5 linked regions of the Mus musculus genome follow. The protein of the gene in region 1 interacts with the protein of each later gene in a pairwise test. Links are inferred from orthologs where the notes say so. Each region holds a gene or a part of one and is shown in the gene's direction. Other genes may lie near its edges. The genes, in order: Necab2, Kansl1, Nek6, Ehhadh and Ssc5d.

Region 1 (3,516 bases):
ACAAAAACAAAAACAAAAAACAGAGGCTGTCCTGGAGGACGGAGTAGGAGACTTACTTTAGGGGAGGTCACAATTCTGAAAACATTCTGGATTCTTGCCTCCAATATTCCCCGAAGTAGAAACTGCGAATGTTCATCAGCCCCTTGAGTTGCTAAGCCTTTCTTACCCAGACAACTCACTCATCAGAAGCAACATTCCGGGCTGTCTGAGGAATTCCAAGGCAGTCACTGCCACCGGCCTTGGAGTCTACAGAAAACTTTTACCCAGACATATGCTGTTGAACATAGGATCTACCAAAGCTAGCCCTGGGCCAGAGGAGAGGCTAAGCCCAGAAAGGAGCCATCAGACCCCACCCAGACCCTGCCTGGTCCCTCTGCTGCAGCATCTGGTGTTGATGCCTTTATACACCTCCCCCAACCCCCAGCAAGGACCAACCCCTTCTCTGCTTTGGTCTAAGGAGTGAAGTTCAGGGCTATGATGGAGGCTGACCCAGGGCTCCAAGAGTCCCAGGAGGGGAAGGGTTATTGTTTTGACAAGCTGCGATAGTCACAGCCCACCCTGCGGCCCTTTCCCCTCTCCTAGGCTCAGCCCCTGACTAGTTCCATCCACTCATAATATGGCCCACGAACTCAGAGAGAGAGAGAGAAACACACCACCAGATATGGTGGCATAAGTCTGTGACCACAACACTCAAGACACTGAGGCAGGAGGATCATGAGAGTTCTAGGTCAGCCTGGATTACATAATATAACTTTGTCTCCAAATAAGGAAAAAAAAGCAGAACAGGAGGCAGGCAGGTGGCTTACCCTGCATCTTCTTCTACCTTCTAGAAAGTGGGGCTCACGTCAGTGTCTAGGATGGGGGGAAGGCAGCAAGCACTTTAAGGACTGCACAGAGGGTCAGAAACAAGCAATTTAAGGACTGCTAACTCCCTCTCCCTCTTTCTTTCTCTCTCTCTCCTTTATTCCCTCCCTCCTTCTCTCCCTTTATAGCCACGTGGACACCAAGGAACTGTGTGGTAGGTACCTGAATCAACGGCAATCAGAGGAGGGCAGAGCAGTATGGGCCTAGGTTGGGGCCTGGTGGGAGGGCCCTAGGGAGAGGGGTGGAGTCCTCTGTGACCCCTGACCTTTGCAATCTCCTGCCCCAGACTACTTTGTGGAGCACATGGGAGACTATGAAGATGTCCTGGCCTCCCTGGAGACTTTGAACCACTCAGTCCTGAAGGCCATGGGCTACACTAAGAAGGTCAGTGGTTGTGGGTAGTGCCTTCGGGAAACTAAGATCTGAGTGCTAGTTTATTCTAGATCTTTCAGATCATTGCTGTCCAAGGGTGTCTGGATTTGTGGCGGCAAATGTTTGACCGAGGACTCACTGAAGAGCGGAGATAAGCCACGTACTTAGAGGAGCACCTTGGTGGCGAGCCCTGTCCTGTAGGCTGTGCATCAGAGTGTGAGGGCCTTTCCCAGGGTCAAGGGTGGTCCTGGAGTGGAAGTCTTGTGAAGCAGGAGTCCCCAAGGGGTTGGCTGCTTAAGGTACAGTGTAGACCTAGGGATCTGAAAGCAGGGACTGCAGGTTTATCTATCTGAACTTGACTCAGGAGTGCAAAGATGTCTCCTAAGCAGCTGACCCATATGCAGTAGAATACTTAGCTGGTCTGGTCAGGGACCAGGTTGAAGGACTGTAGTCTTACTTTCATTGTCTGTGAAGCCAGAGCATCCATATTCCAGGCCTTGAAGGAACTGAAGGAAGTGGGTCCTCTGAGCTGCTGAGTGCAGGACTGCATAGGTCAATACCAGCTCCCTCGGCTTCTCACACGTGGCCTGTGCCATGCCCTGCCACAGCTGGCCGGAGGGCTCCTTCTTGCCATGTACACAAACATTGCTGAGTCTGAACCCCCCCTACACACACAAAGACACACACAGACAAAAACACACACACAGACACATACACACACACAGAGATACATAGACACACAAACACACACAGGCACATTCACACACAGACACACACACACAGATACACACACAAACACACAGATACCCACACAGACACACAGAGACACATACACACACACAGAGATACATACACACACAGACACACAGATACACACACAAACACAGACACATACAGACACAGACACACACAGAGACACATACACACAGACACAGACACACATGCATAGACACATACACACACACACACACACACTGACATTCTGGCATTGTGCTTGCTGTTTGCAATTATTTTAAGACCCTACAAGAGCTCCTCTTGAAGACTGTCATCGTGGCAATTTTGCTGACAGCCCCAGTGTCCGTGGTGGCTTAAACATTAGCAGGGTGTTCCAGGGAAGGGTGTCAGCCTGCTCAGTTGTGGCTGGCTGCGACATGGAGGGGAGGGGAAGATGGATTTTGTAGCAAGAGCTCCTTGGCCTCTCCCTCCCACCTAGGAGTTGCTCTGTTGCTGTAAGGCTTGTAAAGAGGCACTGGGCCCTCATTACAGTGTTCCACCTACTCTTTGATCATGGCTCTCAGGATCAGAACCTCACCCTCCATGAGGGAGAGGAGCTGAACTCCCAGGAGGATCTGCGCAGCCTTAGCTGTGGTGCCACTAGGACCTTGCACATGTGGCCTTGGGTGGCCTCAGGTGACCTCAGGTGGTCACCGTGGTCCTGGGTGACTCGGGAATACCCTTGCAGGGCCTGACAACTGTCACTGAGTATTTTTCTCCTTCTCAGGTTTCTCCTAGCTGGCCTGTTTGTAGAAAGGCAGCCTGATGCTAATCTTTGATGCTTTCTTTGTACGCTGACAAGTTTTTATGTCGACTTGACATAAGCGAGGGTCATCCGAGTTGATCTCAGTTGAGAAGATTTCCCCCAACAGATTGGCCTGTGGTGCTTTCTTGATTGATGGTGGATAGGAGAAAGCCCAGCTCACTTTGTGGGGTGCGATCCCTGGGCTGGTAGCCTTAGATGCTGTAAGAAAACTGGCTTGGGGTGCAAGCCAGTAAGTGGCATTTCTCCATGGCCGCTGTGTCAGCTCCTGCCTTGGATTTCTGCCCTGTCTTCTGTCAGTGGCCAGTAATGTGGGAGTGTAAGCTGAAAGAAACCCTTTCTTCCCCAAGTTGCTTTTGGTCACAGGGTTTCTGCATAGCCAGAGACACCCTAACTAAGGCACCTTCCGGTCTCTGCTGGTTACTGAATTCTGTTACCTTGATTTCTGTTGTAGTAGCCTCGGTCATGGTTAGCTGGGTTAGCCTCCTGTGTGGGGGCTAGCCTTGGCTCCTCCGATGCCTGTGGTGCATGTGGCATATTCCCCAGAAACTAACGCACTACAATGACGCCAGGCCCCGGCCTTTCAAGTACATCTCTCCAGCATCTTTCCACTAATTGCAATATTAATGCCAGCTCTTATTTTAGAACCCTCTTCAGTTCAGCCTGTACAAGGGGGGGGGGGGAATGTTGTTTTCTTCCTCTTTGTTCTGTCTTGGGTGATGGTGAGGAATCTGCTCAGATGC
Region 2 (4,164 bases), on another chromosome or scaffold:
TATAGATGCAGATACTGCAGAAACTTGTTGAGTTAGAGACTTTGTGGGCTAATGAAAACTGGTCTATAACAATAGTTTTTTTTTTTTGAGGAGCTGAAGTGACACATAACACCGGATACTGGTTTGGTAAACCACACAAAGTATTGAGCATTTTACATCTTCCTTTTGGTAGACTCTACTCTTCTCATCTGCTGAGCTTGGTGATTTAGTTGTTGGAACAAGTTTTATGCTATTTGATTTTGGTGAGTCCTAATAATCTTTGGACATGGTTAGCTTTAAAGGGTGGTGGATTTGTACTGTGTAATGTGTCACTTTGCGTTATATTAAGTTTTCTAAGTCCAGAAAATGTTCTCTGATATTAAACCTTATTTGGGAGGAAGGAACCGATATCGTGCTGACAAACTAGAGTCAAGAGTAATTAGGTGCCACTACTTTTAAGTCAACGCTGGTAAGAACATGACAGGTTTGCTTTTGTTGTTCATTGTTAAACTTTTAGCGGGTCTGTGAACTTTAATTTGGTAGTAGCAGGAAACAAAAAAATTACTGTGTAATGAATGCGTTTTTGCCTATTTTGGCGGATCTGACAAATCAAGAAGCCTAAAACAACACGCGGGCTTAACGAAAACTACAGTTCCCAGCGGGCCCGGCGCTGGTGGGCCATCATTTCCCCTCTAGCTCCCAGCTGCCCCTGCCCGGGCTAGCCCCGAGTCGGTCCTAGCTCGCGCCTGCGCAATGGCGTCCGCTTATTTTTTGGTTTGGCGGCTGCAGAGCGTGGCGCTAGGGCTAGCAGCCAGCCGTGTGCTGCAGTGTACAGAGCAGGGTGTAGGACAAAGGGCGGGTGGCAGGGACCGCGTCACTGGTCAGGGAGCTTCCTGCCCGTCTCAGAGCACGGTTGGCCCTGGGGTAGTGTGGCCGCAGCAGCTTCTTCATTCACTGCACACACAGTTCTTCGCTCACGTCCTCTAGCTCTGCTGTGTCAGTCCGCCCTCCCCTCAAACCGGCGCGCAGCACCGCCAGCCACAGAGCCGAGGGAATGTGACGGCATCAGCGCCTCAGGTTAGCCTCACCTCGATCGAAGCGAGGGCCCCGCGTCGCTTGCCGCAGTGCCGCGTGTCGCTGCCGCACGTATCAGGCACCAGGCACCGGTTTCCGCAAACAGAGGCGCAGAAGCAGCGGCCGCGGCTAGGAGCCATGACTGAGGCGGCGGCGGCCGCGCCTCCTGGCAGCCCGCGGGGGCGGCGAGGCGGGCGCCCCCTGGCGGCGCGCCGGGGCGGAGCGGCCCGCCGCAGCCGCAGCCGGCGGAGGCGCTGCTGTCCCTCCTCCCCGTGTCCCCGGCACTCGCCCGCTCGCTTGCTCGCTCCATTCTCCCTCCGCTTCAGATTAAAGGGGGGGAGGGAAAAGGAGCTCGGCCGCCATTTTCCCAGTGCCGCCGCCGCCACCGCCACCGCTCGCTGAGCCGGCGGGAGAACCAAGCGCCGTAGCGAAGCCGACTCGTCTCGCCGCGGCGGCTTGGGGGGCGGCCGAAGTGCGCTCCCCGGCCGGGAAGAAGCTCCCGGGGTGGCGGCCGGGGTGCGGGCGCGGGCTGCAGACGGCGGCGCTTGTTTGTGCGGGGCGGGGGGGGCAGCTTTACCCTCTGCCCCCGCCCGCCCGGGGCTGCGGTCCCCGCCGTGCCCAGGCCGGGTCGGAACGGAGGAAGGCCGGAGAAAGGGCCCGAAAGAGAAGAAAAAGCAGCCGCTCCCCGCCGCCGCCGCCTTCCCCTCCCCCTCCGCCTCGCCCCCCCGCCCGGAAAGTCAGGGCGGCTCCGGGCGCCGGGGGGGAGGAGAGCGGCGGGCCGGGCCGGAGCAGCAGCCGCGCGCCCCCGCCCGCTGGTCCTCGGCGCCCAGGCCGGGGGGCTGTTTGCAAACTGCGCCCATTTTGTGGGGCCGAATCCGCCCGGGCTACGCTCCTCCATCACGTGGTAGGTGCTGCTGCTGCTCCTTTCCTCCTCCTCCCGCTGCCCTTTCTCCTTCTCCTCGCTCTCCCTGTGGTTCCCATTTCTCCCTCTCTTTGTTAGTTGTAACTAGAAAGGCTGGGCAGGGGAAGAAAAATCCCCGGAACTTTAAATGGCCTCTCCGGGCTTCCCCGCTGCGGGTCCGGGCTGGGAGTCGCCCCAAGGGCGGGGGTGTGCGGGGGCCCTTCCCCACCAGCTGCCGCCTCGTTCGCTGGGCTTTCCTTTGGCGTTCTATTTAAAAAGGCGGCCTGGAGAACCTGGTTTATTTCCGAAAAAAAAAAAAAAAAAAAGCAAAAACAAAAAGACCAAAAACAAACTCTTGCTCTCGCCTTGAACTTCTCTTGACTGCAAAAGGTCTTTCTTTGCTCAAACACATCTTGCATGTCTGTCTCACGGTTTGTATCACAACTCTGATTGTTAACATTTTTTGTTGCTTAAATATTGAGGTCATTTGCGTTTTCGGATCTAGTCTCAGGCAGCCCTTTTTTTCAACTAAAGAGGAAGAGGCATTTATTTGCTTTTAAGTGAGTTGGAATCTTACTGCTTTTGGGGGGGCCTGTTTTCGGACTGACGGCCTTTGATTCTCAGCAAATAGTTTATAATTGTTTTCCGTATTGTAAACAATCTTACTCCCATGTTTTACCTAGAAATCCTTTTGTTTTCCAATGTTGGAATCCCAATGTGGATTTTTAGAGAAACTCGTTACTTAACTATTGCTTATTGATTGCCTTAGGGGAAAAGGGGTGACATGATGGCGCCACTTTAAATTGCTCTTTCCTCCGCCTGTTTTTTCCTCCTTTATCCTGGAGGTCACTGGAGCATTTTCCGTGACCTATTAATAAAACCGCACTTGAGGGTGTTAGCTGTACAACTCTTAGGGGTTAGAATTTGGTACCTTAAAGATTGAGAAACCCGAATCCTGCAGTCCCCAAAGTTAAGAGAAATCTCGCTAGTCCTCCAACCTAGCTTTCCTCCCCTCCATTCACAATCCTGGTGTTGCCATATCCTTCGTCACGTGGCTAGCAATCATTGTGGGGTTTTGTTTGTTTGTTTGGGGGGGTGTATGTTAATATTTTAAGCTGTAGCCAAGTAAGTGTCCCTCTGCCCATTAGAGAGATCACAATGCTCTAGGGTTTTTTTTTTTTAATACATTCGGAGAACATTTTAAAATAAACGATAAAATTACATAATCCTTGCCTTGCATAATCATGATATAGTTACAGAACTTCTTCTCAAAAGTACTTTCAATCAAGTAGGAAAATCGTTATATTAAAATGATTTCTGTTTCTTAGACTGGTCTGCAGTTTATATTTCCCACCCCACCTCCCTTTTTTGTTTTTGTTTTTAAGGTCATTTGAAGTACCAGTATTTACAAAAGCATAAAGTGGGCGTGTTTCCCTTTCCTCTCTTCTATGGGCTGTACTTGGTTTCTTGTCTTATTCTCCTACCAATTTAGAAATTTTCAATTAACTGCAGCTGTTGTCAGTTGAGACTTTTTTTTTTTTTTCTTCTGACAGTGGATACTTTTGATGTGTTTCTTTGTTGCATTTTTGATAGAGAAGTTTTTAATTCTAGTTTTCCAATCTTCTTACTTGGTTGTTATAACTTCTTGTAAATATTAACTATAAAATGCTAAAGTACATTTTTTTCTTTTTCTAGGTAAGTTACTAGCTTCAAAAAGTAAATATAAAATGTAATTCTTGAGTATGATTGATCTGTTTTCTCCTGATGTATGTTATCAATGGCTTGGGCCATTTTCTTTGCTAACAGTTACATCATGTCATGTGATAGGTGCAGTGTGATGTGTTGCTCTAAAAATATTGCGAGGTAAAAATGCTCATCCTTTGGAAATTTAAACAATGTATTGTAACTATTTGGTAACGACCCTTAGTCATGGAATCCTGAATTAGATTTCCACTAGGTTTAGCCAACCAAGTGTACAGTTCTTTTGACCTTTAGAATATTTGATTTGATTTGTTAGTGACCTCAGAACTTGAGGTGGTTTGACATTATTTTTGAAGTGTGATCTACTTGGAACCATTAACAATCACATAGATTCTTAAAATCTTTATTCTGATGAAGGTAGTTATTTAATTAAGTGTATGTGATGATTTGTTTCTGTACACAAAAGTCATCAGTTCTATGCAGATTTTGAGATAAATTGGAGGTTTGGT
Region 3 (3,516 bases), on another chromosome or scaffold:
TGCACACGTCCCCACGTAAACACTATAATGAGGACCAAATAACATTATGGTGTAAATAACAGGCCGCCCAGCCTGGCACAGAGGCCTGGGGGTGGCCCAAAGCAGAGGTCTTTGGGGAGACCAGAAGAGCCAGCTCGCCAGCTCCTCCTAGAAGGGCCTCAGGAGAGCCTCAAGGGGTTTTACTTCCAGGCCAGTAGCTAGCAGCTATCCCGGCCCTGTGTCTGGAGGTCCCCAGCTCTAGATCCCAGCCTCCGTGCGTGCTCCTGATGCATAGCCGTGGGCCTGTGCATGAGCCTCTCTGGGCATGGTCCCCGTCACAGATTCTCAGCGTCATTCGATGTGATGAACTCAGAAGGCCTAACTAAGCTCCATTTTGTAGCCCTCAGGGCCTTTGTGCTGCTTGCTGAGAGTCCAGCAGCATGATTGAGCGTGGCCTGTACGCAGCAGGGCTTTCCTGCACCTCTGTTTCCTCCCCAGGCTAGGCAGGTGCCCTGGTAGTTAGTTCCTGGCTTCCTACACTGGAATAGCTGCTTGGCACTGGCCACAGTGCTGCCTCTTGCCACTAGAACCACAGCTTGGTGATGAGGTAGCCGAGGTGCTAGCCATTGCCCTACACCTCAGTACAGGCCTGCTGCGCACACCCCTATACACACACACACACACACACACACACACACACACACTGTCTCAGGATTTGTTCCTGCATTATCCTTCCAGAACCTTCTGTTCAATTCTCTTTCAGTGCAGCCTGGAGAGTTGTTTCTTGACTTTTTTCTTTCTTTCTTTTTTTTCCCCCCTGGGGGTTCCAATGTGGTTTACTAGGTGTCCTGGCTAATTTTAAGTCAACTTGACATAGGCTAAAGAAATCTGAGAGGAGGGAATCTCCACTGAGAAAATGCAGCCATTAAATTCTGCCGTGGGTGGGCAAGACTGTAAGGCATTTTCTTAATTAGTGACTGATGGGGGAGGGCCTAGCCCATGATGGGTGGTTCTGTCCCTGGGCTGGTGGTCCTGGGGTCTATAAGAAAGCAGGATGAGCAAGCCAGTAAGCGCCACCCCTCCATGGCTTCTGCATCGGCTCGTGCACACCAGTTCCTGCCCTGACCGCCTTCCATGACAGACTATGATATGGAAGTAGTGGATAAAATAAACACTTTCCTCCTAAACTTGCTGTGGTGTTTCATCACAGCAATGGAAGCCCTGACTAAGACAGTAGGCAAGGAGGTAAATAAATTAGTGCCTGCTGAAACCAAGGGTCTGTTTGACGAAGTTAAGTCCTTCTCCTCAAGGGTTACTGTGCCTTTAGCAGTCACATGACACTGAGATTTAACGACTGAGGACATGGGGACAACAATGACTATCTATCTCTCAGGCCTGGTTCTCCTCCCACGCCAGGCTCGGACTGATGCTGAGAGTCCTTAGTCTCCCCAGGCCCCTGTGAGCAGGTCACTGAGAGGCTCTTCCTTGGGCTTCCCTCTGGCCAGGCTCTGACCTCATGGTCCATTTCATCTGGGGCCCCCTGAGCTCTGCTGGGCTGAAGAGAGGTGCTGACACAACATCCCGGCCCCTCACTGTTTGCTTGGCCTTTGCTGGTGTGATCACCGTGTCACCCTTGCTGGAAATATGCTCACCCAGGCCTGTCTGTCTGTCACCCCACAGTATTTCAAGAAGCAGAAGCGGCTTATCCCTGAGAGGACCGTGTGGAAGTACTTCGTGCAGCTGTGCAGCGCTGTGGAGCACATGCACTCCCGACGTGTGATGCACCGAGGTGTGTGCCCCTCCTTGGCCCGGGACTCCAGCTCTGAGCCTTCGAGCGCCCCAGGAGCTGCCCTGAGAATGAGGCCATTTAGGCCATGCAGGGTATCCAGTAGCTGCACTCACATCTGTCCCATTCGAGGACCCACCTGGGAGGGCGGGGGAGTCTTATCTGATGCCCGATAGTCATCACTTAAGCTTCAGGGAATGGGACCATCACAGCATGCTGACTCCACTCATCCCAGATGTGGCCAAACCTGGTGCTGAGGCCAGTTTTGCCCAGAGAAAGTTTCCCATGGGCTTTGATATCTTGGTAGGCATTGGCTAAGCAAGCTATACCCCCACCCTACCCCAGAAAGTGCTTTGAGGAGGTATTTCAGGTTGTGAGGAAGCCTGTCGAAGGTGTCTTTGAGTTGCTTTCACCTGTGTGAGACCCTGCCCTAGTCACTGCAGTGCAAAGCTTACTGACTGTCAGACAGTGTCTCCCGTGCGGTGACGCTCGTCTGGCACAGGGGAGGCAGCTGTACAAAAGGAGACAGTAGTATAGAAGTCTCTGCTCCCCACTCACAGCCAACCTGTGACATGGGGGAGGGGGATAGTCATGTTACAGATGAAGTAAATGAGCCTCCTCCCATCCCTTCTAAGCCTGCTCTCCCCACACCAACCCTGTGTCCTTGCCCTGCAGACATCAAGCCCGCCAACGTGTTCATCACAGCTACGGGCATTGTGAAGCTTGGTGACCTCGGCCTGGGCCGCTTCTTCAGCTCGGAGACCACTGCGGCCCACTCACTAGGTAAGAGGCCTATGTCCCACCTACCCGCAGCCCCTGTAGGCCTGGGTGACCCAGCCGGAAGGGCATCCATTCTCCTGGAACTATTTGTAGTGTGTGGGAAGATCTTTTTTGAGTCTTAAGAGTTCACCCTTGCTTTGGGATAGATCCAAAGTAGAGGAAACTGAGGCCCAGAGGGGCCACTGCAGGGGGGAAGGGGGATCTCCCCATATCCCCAAGTCATCTCTCTAGTACTTCCTGGAAGGCCAACAGACCCTGTCATATAGAATGGACTGCATCTGCCTGGCTTGTGGTCCTTTTGCTGTGCCCAATTGGCCCTGTGACCTACTCCCCAGGTAGATCTGCTTGTAAGACTGAAGAGGCAGTCTTGGGGGCTGGGGCTGGGTGGTTGGATTGTGGAGGAAGAACATCTGGGAAGGCCCCCGAGAAGGAGCCATGTCCAGTTGTGGGAGCTGTGCATGAGCTTGGGGTGATGCCAATAAGCAGGTGTTGGAGAATGGGTACAGGCCTTGATGTCCCTGTTGGGAGTGTGAAGAGGGGCTTCAGGTTAGGTGGGGCTGTGTGGGCTTCGGAGTGTGTGCCGGAGTGTGTGCCGGAGTGTGTGCCGGAGTGATGAAGATGGAGCTGCTGCTCTTTAATTAGTTTAATGGAGCCAGCATAACCACAGAGACAGCAGGGTTTCACCAGGAATCCATGAGAGGCCGGGGTCTCCCAGCTTCTCCCAACATCTCTCAGGGATCACTAGGGGAGACAGAGGAGACCCGGAGCCAGCCTGTGACCTGTGGCCACCTCCCAGGGAAAAAAAAAAAAAAAAACCTCTGGCTCTACTCATTTCCATGCCACCCCACAGCTCCAGTCTGGGTGTCTCCCATCACCACACAACTGGGTGCCTGTAGCCAGCCATGAGCCATCAGCAGCTTCTGGTGGCAGCATGGGTGCTCTGTGGGGAACTCTCCTCTGGAAACTGTCAC
Region 4 (3,516 bases), on another chromosome or scaffold:
TTTACTTATTTAGTACCTGTGTATCAGTTCTCCCACCTGTGTATCAGTTCTCCCACCTGTGTATCCAGTTCTCCCACCTGTGTATCAGTTCTCCCACCTGTGTATCAGTTCTCCCACCTGTGTATCCAGTTCTCCCACCTGTGTATCAGTTCTCCCACCTGTGTATTCAGTTCTCCCACCTGTGTGTCTGGTTCTCCTACCTGTGTGTCAGTTATCCCACCTTTGTAGTCAGCTATCCCACCACCTTTTGGAGGGAAGGGGGAAAAAAAAAAGACTCTTTTTGCCATGTGGACTATCTTTTCTCCTGTATTAAAAATCAATTTACTATACTGTAAGTCCTTATCAATGAACTTACAATTCTTTTTTATTGCCAATCATTGCCCCATATAACATTTCCCTCTGTTATGGTATTTTAAAGATTTTGTCATTATTAGGGAAAGAATGTGAATAATTTTGAATAGATGATATTAAGTAAGAACTGTACTCTTTGTACAGATTAATATTTAATATATTATAAAGTTGTCTTGGCCTCAGAATAAAAAGAGACTGCACCTTTCATGTCTGAATTAGTAGCATAATACTTTCGATCTTCTACTTTACGGTCTGAAGTTACTAAGATTACAGACTTTGGATATCGTGTTTCATTAGATATTGTAGTGCGTAGCGTCTGACTGGGTTGTGGGAACCACGCACCGCACTGTCGTTTTGTTTTTGGGCAGTTCTGTTCTCTTTCTATTATGCTTACGATACTCTGACCTTTAGCAATTCCTTTCAGGTAAACCCATAGAACCCCGCAGGATCCTAAACAAGCCAGTCCCAAGCTTGCCCAACATGGACAGTGTTTTTGCAGAAGCCATTGCCAAGGTACGGAAGCAGTACCCTGGCCGCCTGGCTCCGGAGACTTGTGTCCGTTCAGTCCAGGCCTCCGTGAAGCATCCATATGAAGTGGCCATCAAGGAAGAAGCAAAGCTGTTTATGTACCTTCGGGGGTCGGGGCAGGCTAGAGCCCTGCAGTACGCCTTTTTTGCTGAAAAGTCTGCAAATAAGTGGTCAACTCCCTCAGGAGCATCTTGGAAAACAGCATCTGCTCAACCCGTCTCCTCGGTTGGTGTTCTTGGTAAGCATATTTCCAAACCTGCAGGTTTCTTTTAATCAATTGAAAAGTTCATACATGTGTCCATTGTGTCTGGATCAAGCTCCCCGCTTTCCCTTTCCCTCAGTTCCTCCCTTAGCCTCCCCGCCATTATTTTTTTTTTTTTCCTATTTCATGTGTTCTCTCTCTTTTTCAAAATCATGGAAGTCACTTAGTGCTGCTAGCATGTGCATGGTGTAAGGCCATCTACAGGCACGTGGGAAGCCTCCAGGGAGGAGGGAAAGCTGACTTCTCATGCCAACAGTCATTCACTGACCAATAGCCCAAAGCTTGCAGGTGGATGTCCTGCCCTCCTCCCCTTTATGCTGAGATTGTGTCTGGCTAGATGTTGTGCAGGTCTTGTGTGTGCAGCCAGAGCTGTTGTCGGTTCATATGTGCAATGGCACTGTTGTATGAAAAGCACAGCACACTTCAAATGTCACTTGCTTGGGGAAGCTATTATTTTGTTGAACATGGCACTCATGTTAACGCTTGTTAATTCTTGTAGGAGCCTATAAACTCTTTCCATCCTGCGGGTCAGCTCTAGGGACCTTCCAACTGTGGCAGTCCTGTCCATACATAGGCCATACGAGTGGAGTTTGTTTCCGGCTCTCAGCATGTACTCTCTGTTCACTGCCTTGAATACTATATTTTTGTCTTAATTATTGAAACTGGGAAGAGTGACTTTCCCAACTTTTTTTGAAAGATTTGTTTATTTTATATATGTGAGTACATTGTTGCTGTCTTCAGACACACCAGAAGAGGGCATCAGATCCCATTACTGAGATAACTGTGAGTCACCATGTGGTGGCTGGGAATTGAACTCAGGACCTCTGTAAGAGCAGCCAGTGCTCTTAATTGCTGAGCCATCTCTCCAACCCCATCTCCAATTTTTAAAAATACTGTTTTGACTCTTCTAGGTTTCTTGTGTTTCTATATGAATTGTAGAATCTAGTGTTAATTATGCAAAAAGTTGGGCTGGTATAGTGCTTGCATTGGCTCTACAGATTATTTTGATATTTCATCCTAACAATACTAAATTTTTTTCTGGTCCATGAACATTGGCTGTCTTTCTGCCAATATCTAGGTGATTTTGATTCTTTTTATTTCTTTCCCTCTTTCTTTCTTTCTTTCTTTCTTTCTTTCTTTCTTCTTTTCTTTTCTTGTTTTCAATGTCAGGTATCAGCCTTGTGCACGCAAGCACTTTAACACTGAACAATAAATACCTTGGATATTCTTTAATTTTTTTCCAATGATGTTTCATTGGTTTTAGTACACAAGTCCTCCTTTGTTAAATGTATTCCATAAGTATAGTTATTTTTTATGTTATTGTAGGTAAAATTGCTTTCTTATTTTCATACAGTTCATTGCTAATATGTGAAGATATATTGGGGGCTGGAGAGATGGCTCAGCAGTTAAGAGTAACTGCTTTAGCCAGGCAGTGGTGGTACATGCCTAGTACTTGGGTGGCAGAGGCAGATGGATCTCTGAATTTGAGGCCAGCCTGGTCTACAGAGTGAGCTCCAGGACAGCCAGGGCTACACAGAGAAACCCTGTCTTGAAAAAACAAAACAAAACAAAACAAAACAACCAAAAAGAAAAGAAAGAAGGAAAGAAAGAAAAAGAGTAACTGATTTGAAATAATGAATATCAAAGTTTTGATCCTAGCATCCATGTGACAACTTGAGCAGCCCCTCCCCACAAACACCTGTAACACCTGTTTCCAGGAGCGGGGTGGATATAGACAAGGGTATCACTGTGCTTGCTGGCTTCCAGACTAGGTGAAAAGACACAAGCTCTCGGCCTCTTAAGAGAGAAGTCTCTGCTTCAAAAGAAATAGGGAGAAAGGATAGACAAGGACACCCAACTCCTTATACTGATGTCTGTGATATAATGCACACAGAGAAATAAATATTTTTATTATTATTATTATTTACATCCAAACCACAGTTTCCTCTCTCTCCTCTCCTCCAATTCCCTCCCCCACAGACCCTCCCTCATCCACTCCTTCTCTGTTTCCCTTGGGAAAGGGCAGGCCTCCCAGAGATATCAAGTTGCCAAACACGGCATATCAAGTTGCAGTAAAGACTAGGCACCTTCCCTGTATTAAGATTTGAGGCAAACCAGAGGAAGGAAAAGGGTCCCAAAATCAGGCAAAAGAGTCAGAGACAGCCCTGCTCCCACTATTAGGAATCCCACAAGAAGACCAAGGTATACAACAGTCACATATATGCAGATCATTCCCTTGCAGGCTTCCTGATTGTCAGCTCAATATCTGTGAACCCTGGTTAGCTGATTATGTGAGTTTTCTGGTAGTGTCCTTGACCCCTCTGGCTCCTACAATCTTTCCTCCTAGACTTCCATGGGATTCCCTGAGCTCAATC
Region 5 (3,516 bases), on another chromosome or scaffold:
GTCTTCAGACACTCCAGAAGAGGGCGTCAGATCTTGTTACAGATGGTTGTGAGCCACCATGTGGTTGCTGGGATTTGAACTTCAGACCTTCGGAAGAGCAGTCGGGTGCTCTTACCCACTGAGCCATCTCACCAGCCCTATTTAGTTTTTAAGTGTGCAGGTATTTTGCCTGCAAGTGGATCTGTGCGCCATGTGCTTGTCTGGAGTCCTTGGAGGCCAGGAGAGGCCACCAGACTCTCTGAGATTAGAGTTACAGACAGTTGTGAGCCACTATGTTTGTGCTAAGAATCAAACCCAGGTCCTATGGAAGAGCAGCAAGTACTCTTAGCCACAGACCCATCTCTTCAGTCCAACAGACTTCTATTTTCTTAAGTGAAACGAGGGCGGAGGGTATGGGTTAGCAGGACAGGACGAGACCTTCCCCATGATCTTATCTCTCCTCCCTCCCGGTCTCCTAGGGACCCCCGGCCTGGATACCATCTCAGACCCTTTCAGTTGGAGCTGGCTCCCTGGGCTGGGTAGAGATCAGGATGCCTGGCTCCCAGGAGAGCTAACCACCAAACCTTCTGCCAGTCTCACCTCCAGTGTGCCACAGAAACCCACAAAGGTTCCAGGGAAAGCTCCCAAGAGTACCAAGAAGTGGGTGACTAAAAATGCAAGGAGACCAACCACTCAGCCCCCTGGGATGCCAACCACCAAACATTCCAGGGCCCCAGGCACCCCAACCTCCCTACATCCAACAGCACGTACCTCTGAGTTACCAAAGAGACTGACCACTGAGGCTCCCCACAGGCAGACCTCACATACCACTGTAAGGCTGACCCCTAGGGTCCCCTGGGAGTGGACCTCAGAGCCTGTGGTGTCACAGTCCACTCAAGGTCCCCAAGAAGTGACCTCTGAGGCCACCACAACGGAAAACCCTCAGACCTCTTTGGAGCCATCGGGTGAGAACACCGAAGGCTCTCTGGAATCATCCCAAGATCCAGCTACCACCCCAACTGCTGGAGTCCCTGTGCCATCAGGTGAGTAGTAGAGAGTTAAAAGGGTGGGGACAGGGAGGTGGCCCTGTACCTCCTAACCTGAGAGCCTCCCACCTCCCCCAGGTCCCTTCCGGGTTCGTCTGGCTGATGGGCCCAACAGGTGTGCTGGCCGGCTAGAGGTGTGGCATGCTGGACTCTGGGGAACAGTCTGTGATGACAGCTGGGACATCCGGGATGCCACAGTGGCCTGCTGGGAGCTGGGTTGCGGAAAGGTCCGGCCCCGAGTAGGCAAAACTCACTATGGCCCTGGCACTGGGCCCATCTGGTTGGATGACATGGGCTGTAAAGGAAGTGAGATGTCACTGAGTGACTGCCCCTCGGGGGCATGGGGGAAGCACAACTGTGACCACGAAGAAGACGTGGTGCTCACCTGCACTGGTACCAGGGAACAGTGAGGGAGGCCGAGGTGGTGGAGTTAGAGTGGGACAGAATGGTGTCTCGTGGGCTAGAGGGGACTCAGCGTTGGTGTCTAAAGGTCTAAGGAGCGGGCTGGAGGGGGCTCAGCATGAGAGCAGGAAAGGGTTACTTCAGGAGACTCTGGCAGGGAAGGGAAGCCCGGGGGCGGGGGGGGGGGACCTCAGCTAGCAGGAAGAGGCACAAGCTACCTGTCTCTCCCCCAGGCTACACGGGTGATGACGATTATCCTTCCTGGACCTGGGACCCTACTTCCGGAGAGGACCTGACCAAAGGGACCACAGTGGCTGCGCGGCCTGGACATACACTTTCCTGGGCTACCACTACAAACACTGAAGTCCCCTCTCCAGCAACACAGAACCTTCCAGACACGGGTGAGGGGCTCAACCTGGGTGCATATGCCAAGGCATGTGTGATGAGGTCAGAGTCAAAATGGTGGAGCTCTATCCACAAGCTCCTTTACCTACCGGGCGATGGCATCCGCCCACTTTTGTTTTGTTTGTTTTGTTTTTGAGGTGCTATATCTTGTATCCCAGACTGGCCTTGAACTTGCTATGTGGCTGAGGTTTGCCTTGAACTTCCTGTCTCCCCCTCCCAAGTATTGGCAGTGCAAACATATGTGCTACTGTGGTCAGCCATAAAGATCTCTCTAACAGCTAGCCTAGGCCTCCATGTCCTGGCAGGCTTGCCTAAATGTGTTCCACTCTTGGGCTTGACAGTATTCACCTTCTCCAGAGTGCAATGGGACAGCATGTGGCTCAGAGCGATCAGAGGGCATCAGCTAGTACTGAGCCTACCAAATCGACCATGCCCCTCAATCCAGAGCATGTGCAGGAATGACCCAGAGCCCTCAGCTCAGGGTTGTCCTGTGAGCACATGGTTCCACCGTCAGCAGACTCATACCCAGTCTGGCAGTCCATGTGTTGTCCTGGTCAGGCTCTAGGTCAGACACAGACAGGACCCTCCTGGAGCACAGGTTCTAACTCCTGCCCTTCCCAGCCCCACCCATGAAAGTCAGTGCCTTACATGACATCTGTCAGTCCTTCTGCTTCTCCATGGCTTCTGTTTTGCTATGGTCTGTGTCCTTCCACCCCTGATGCTAACCCAGGGATCTCCATCCACCCTGGCCCCTACATCTTAGAACTCCATTTTGCTTTTCTCCTGGTGTCTTTCTCCCATTGGATTCGTTCCCACTCTCTTTTCCTCTTTAGTACTCTGTTTTTCCCAGTGCAGTATCTCTTGGTTTTTTTCATCAGTTTTTCTTTAAAGTTCTATACTCCTTCCACACCTTTTACATTGTTTAAAGTTATTATTTTATGGGTATGGTTGTAGGCATATCTATGCCATGTGCATACAGTTCCCACACAGGCCAGAAGAGGGCACCAGAGTCCTGGCCAGAAGAGGGCACTAGTGCTCCTGAAACTGGAGTTATAGACAGGCGTGAGCAGCCACATGGGTGCAGGGAATTGAACCTGGCTTCTCTGGGAGAACAGCCTGAACTCTCTGTCCAGCCCCTGTATCTTCCTTTCAAGTCACCATCTCACCCCATTTCTCAGTAGTTTGCTTTTTCTTTTTTCTTTCGTTGTCCCAGCTGGCCTAGAACTCCTGTTCTCCCCCTGCCTCCACCTCCCCAGCCCTCGGGTCACTGGGCATGTACCACCTTGCCCGTCACTCACTGTATTTCACGTGACTTCCTCTCTTCTTTCCTTCCTGGGTTCCCCCTCCACTGTCTTTTTCAGACCCTCTGCTTTTATCTCCTCCCTTCTGTAGCGTTCCCCCTTTCCTTCCTTTTTCTTTGTTAGATTGATTGATTGTATATGTGTGTGCATGCACACCTGTGCTCAGGGCCATATGCCACAGTATGTGCTCGCACACGCACTCATATGTAAGTGTGTATATGCATGAGTATACGAGCTCATATGTGTGTGTGCACACTTGCATGCGTGGATTCGTGCTTGTGTGTGTGTCTATGTACAACCTGCAGGAGTCAGTCTTCTCCTTTTACCATGTTGGTTCCAGGTATACAACTAGAATTTTCAGCTAGGTGCCGATCCATCTCATC

What was found.
Region 2: the proteins of Necab2 (region 1) and Kansl1 interact in binary tests that used the Homo sapiens proteins (3 or more experiments, as listed by UniProt). The two-hybrid records come from large-scale screens. The link is inferred for Mus musculus from reciprocal best matches to the Homo sapiens genes NECAB2 and KANSL1.
Region 3: the proteins of Necab2 (region 1) and Nek6 interact in binary tests that used the Homo sapiens proteins (3 or more experiments, as listed by UniProt). The link is inferred for Mus musculus from reciprocal best matches to the Homo sapiens genes NECAB2 and NEK6.
Region 4: the proteins of Necab2 (region 1) and Ehhadh interact in binary tests that used the Homo sapiens proteins (3 or more experiments, as listed by UniProt). The two-hybrid records come from large-scale screens. The link is inferred for Mus musculus from reciprocal best matches to the Homo sapiens genes NECAB2 and EHHADH.
Region 5: the proteins of Necab2 (region 1) and Ssc5d interact in binary tests that used the Homo sapiens proteins (3 or more experiments, as listed by UniProt). The two-hybrid records come from large-scale screens. The link is inferred for Mus musculus from reciprocal best matches to the Homo sapiens genes NECAB2 and SSC5D.

What each region holds. Positions count from the first base shown.
Region 1 is NC_000074.6:119,453,209-119,456,724, forward strand, and holds part of Necab2 (N-terminal EF-hand calcium-binding protein 2), read left to right. Parts: intron 1-992; coding exon 993-1,018; intron 1,019-1,150; coding exon 1,151-1,248; intron 1,249-3,516. UniProt on the Homo sapiens protein: May act as a signaling scaffold protein that senses intracellular calcium.
Region 2 is NC_000077.6:104,439,518-104,443,681, reverse strand, and holds the start of Kansl1 (KAT8 regulatory NSL complex subunit 1), read left to right. Parts: upstream 1-1,361; 5' UTR 1,362-1,957; intron 1,958-4,164. UniProt on the Homo sapiens protein: Non-catalytic component of the NSL histone acetyltransferase complex, a multiprotein complex that mediates histone H4 acetylation at 'Lys-5'- and 'Lys-8' (H4K5ac and H4K8ac) at transcription start sites and promotes transcription initiation.
Region 3 is NC_000068.7:38,567,188-38,570,703, forward strand, and holds part of Nek6 (serine/threonine-protein kinase Nek6), read left to right. Parts: intron 1-1,659; coding exon 1,660-1,768; intron 1,769-2,440; coding exon 2,441-2,548; intron 2,549-3,516. UniProt on the Homo sapiens protein: Protein kinase which plays an important role in mitotic cell cycle progression. Required for chromosome segregation at metaphase-anaphase transition, robust mitotic spindle formation and cytokinesis.
Region 4 is NC_000082.6:21,763,827-21,767,342, reverse strand, and holds part of Ehhadh (peroxisomal bifunctional enzyme), read left to right. Parts: intron 1-775; coding exon 776-1,117; intron 1,118-3,516. UniProt on the Homo sapiens protein: Peroxisomal trifunctional enzyme possessing 2-enoyl-CoA hydratase, 3-hydroxyacyl-CoA dehydrogenase, and delta 3, delta 2-enoyl-CoA isomerase activities. Catalyzes two of the four reactions of the long chain fatty acids peroxisomal beta-oxidation pathway.
Region 5 is NC_000073.6:4,935,805-4,939,320, forward strand, and holds part of Ssc5d (soluble scavenger receptor cysteine-rich domain-containing protein SSC5D precursor), read left to right. Parts: intron 1-458; coding exon 459-1,022; intron 1,023-1,103; coding exon 1,104-1,418; intron 1,419-1,660; coding exon 1,661-1,828; intron 1,829-3,516.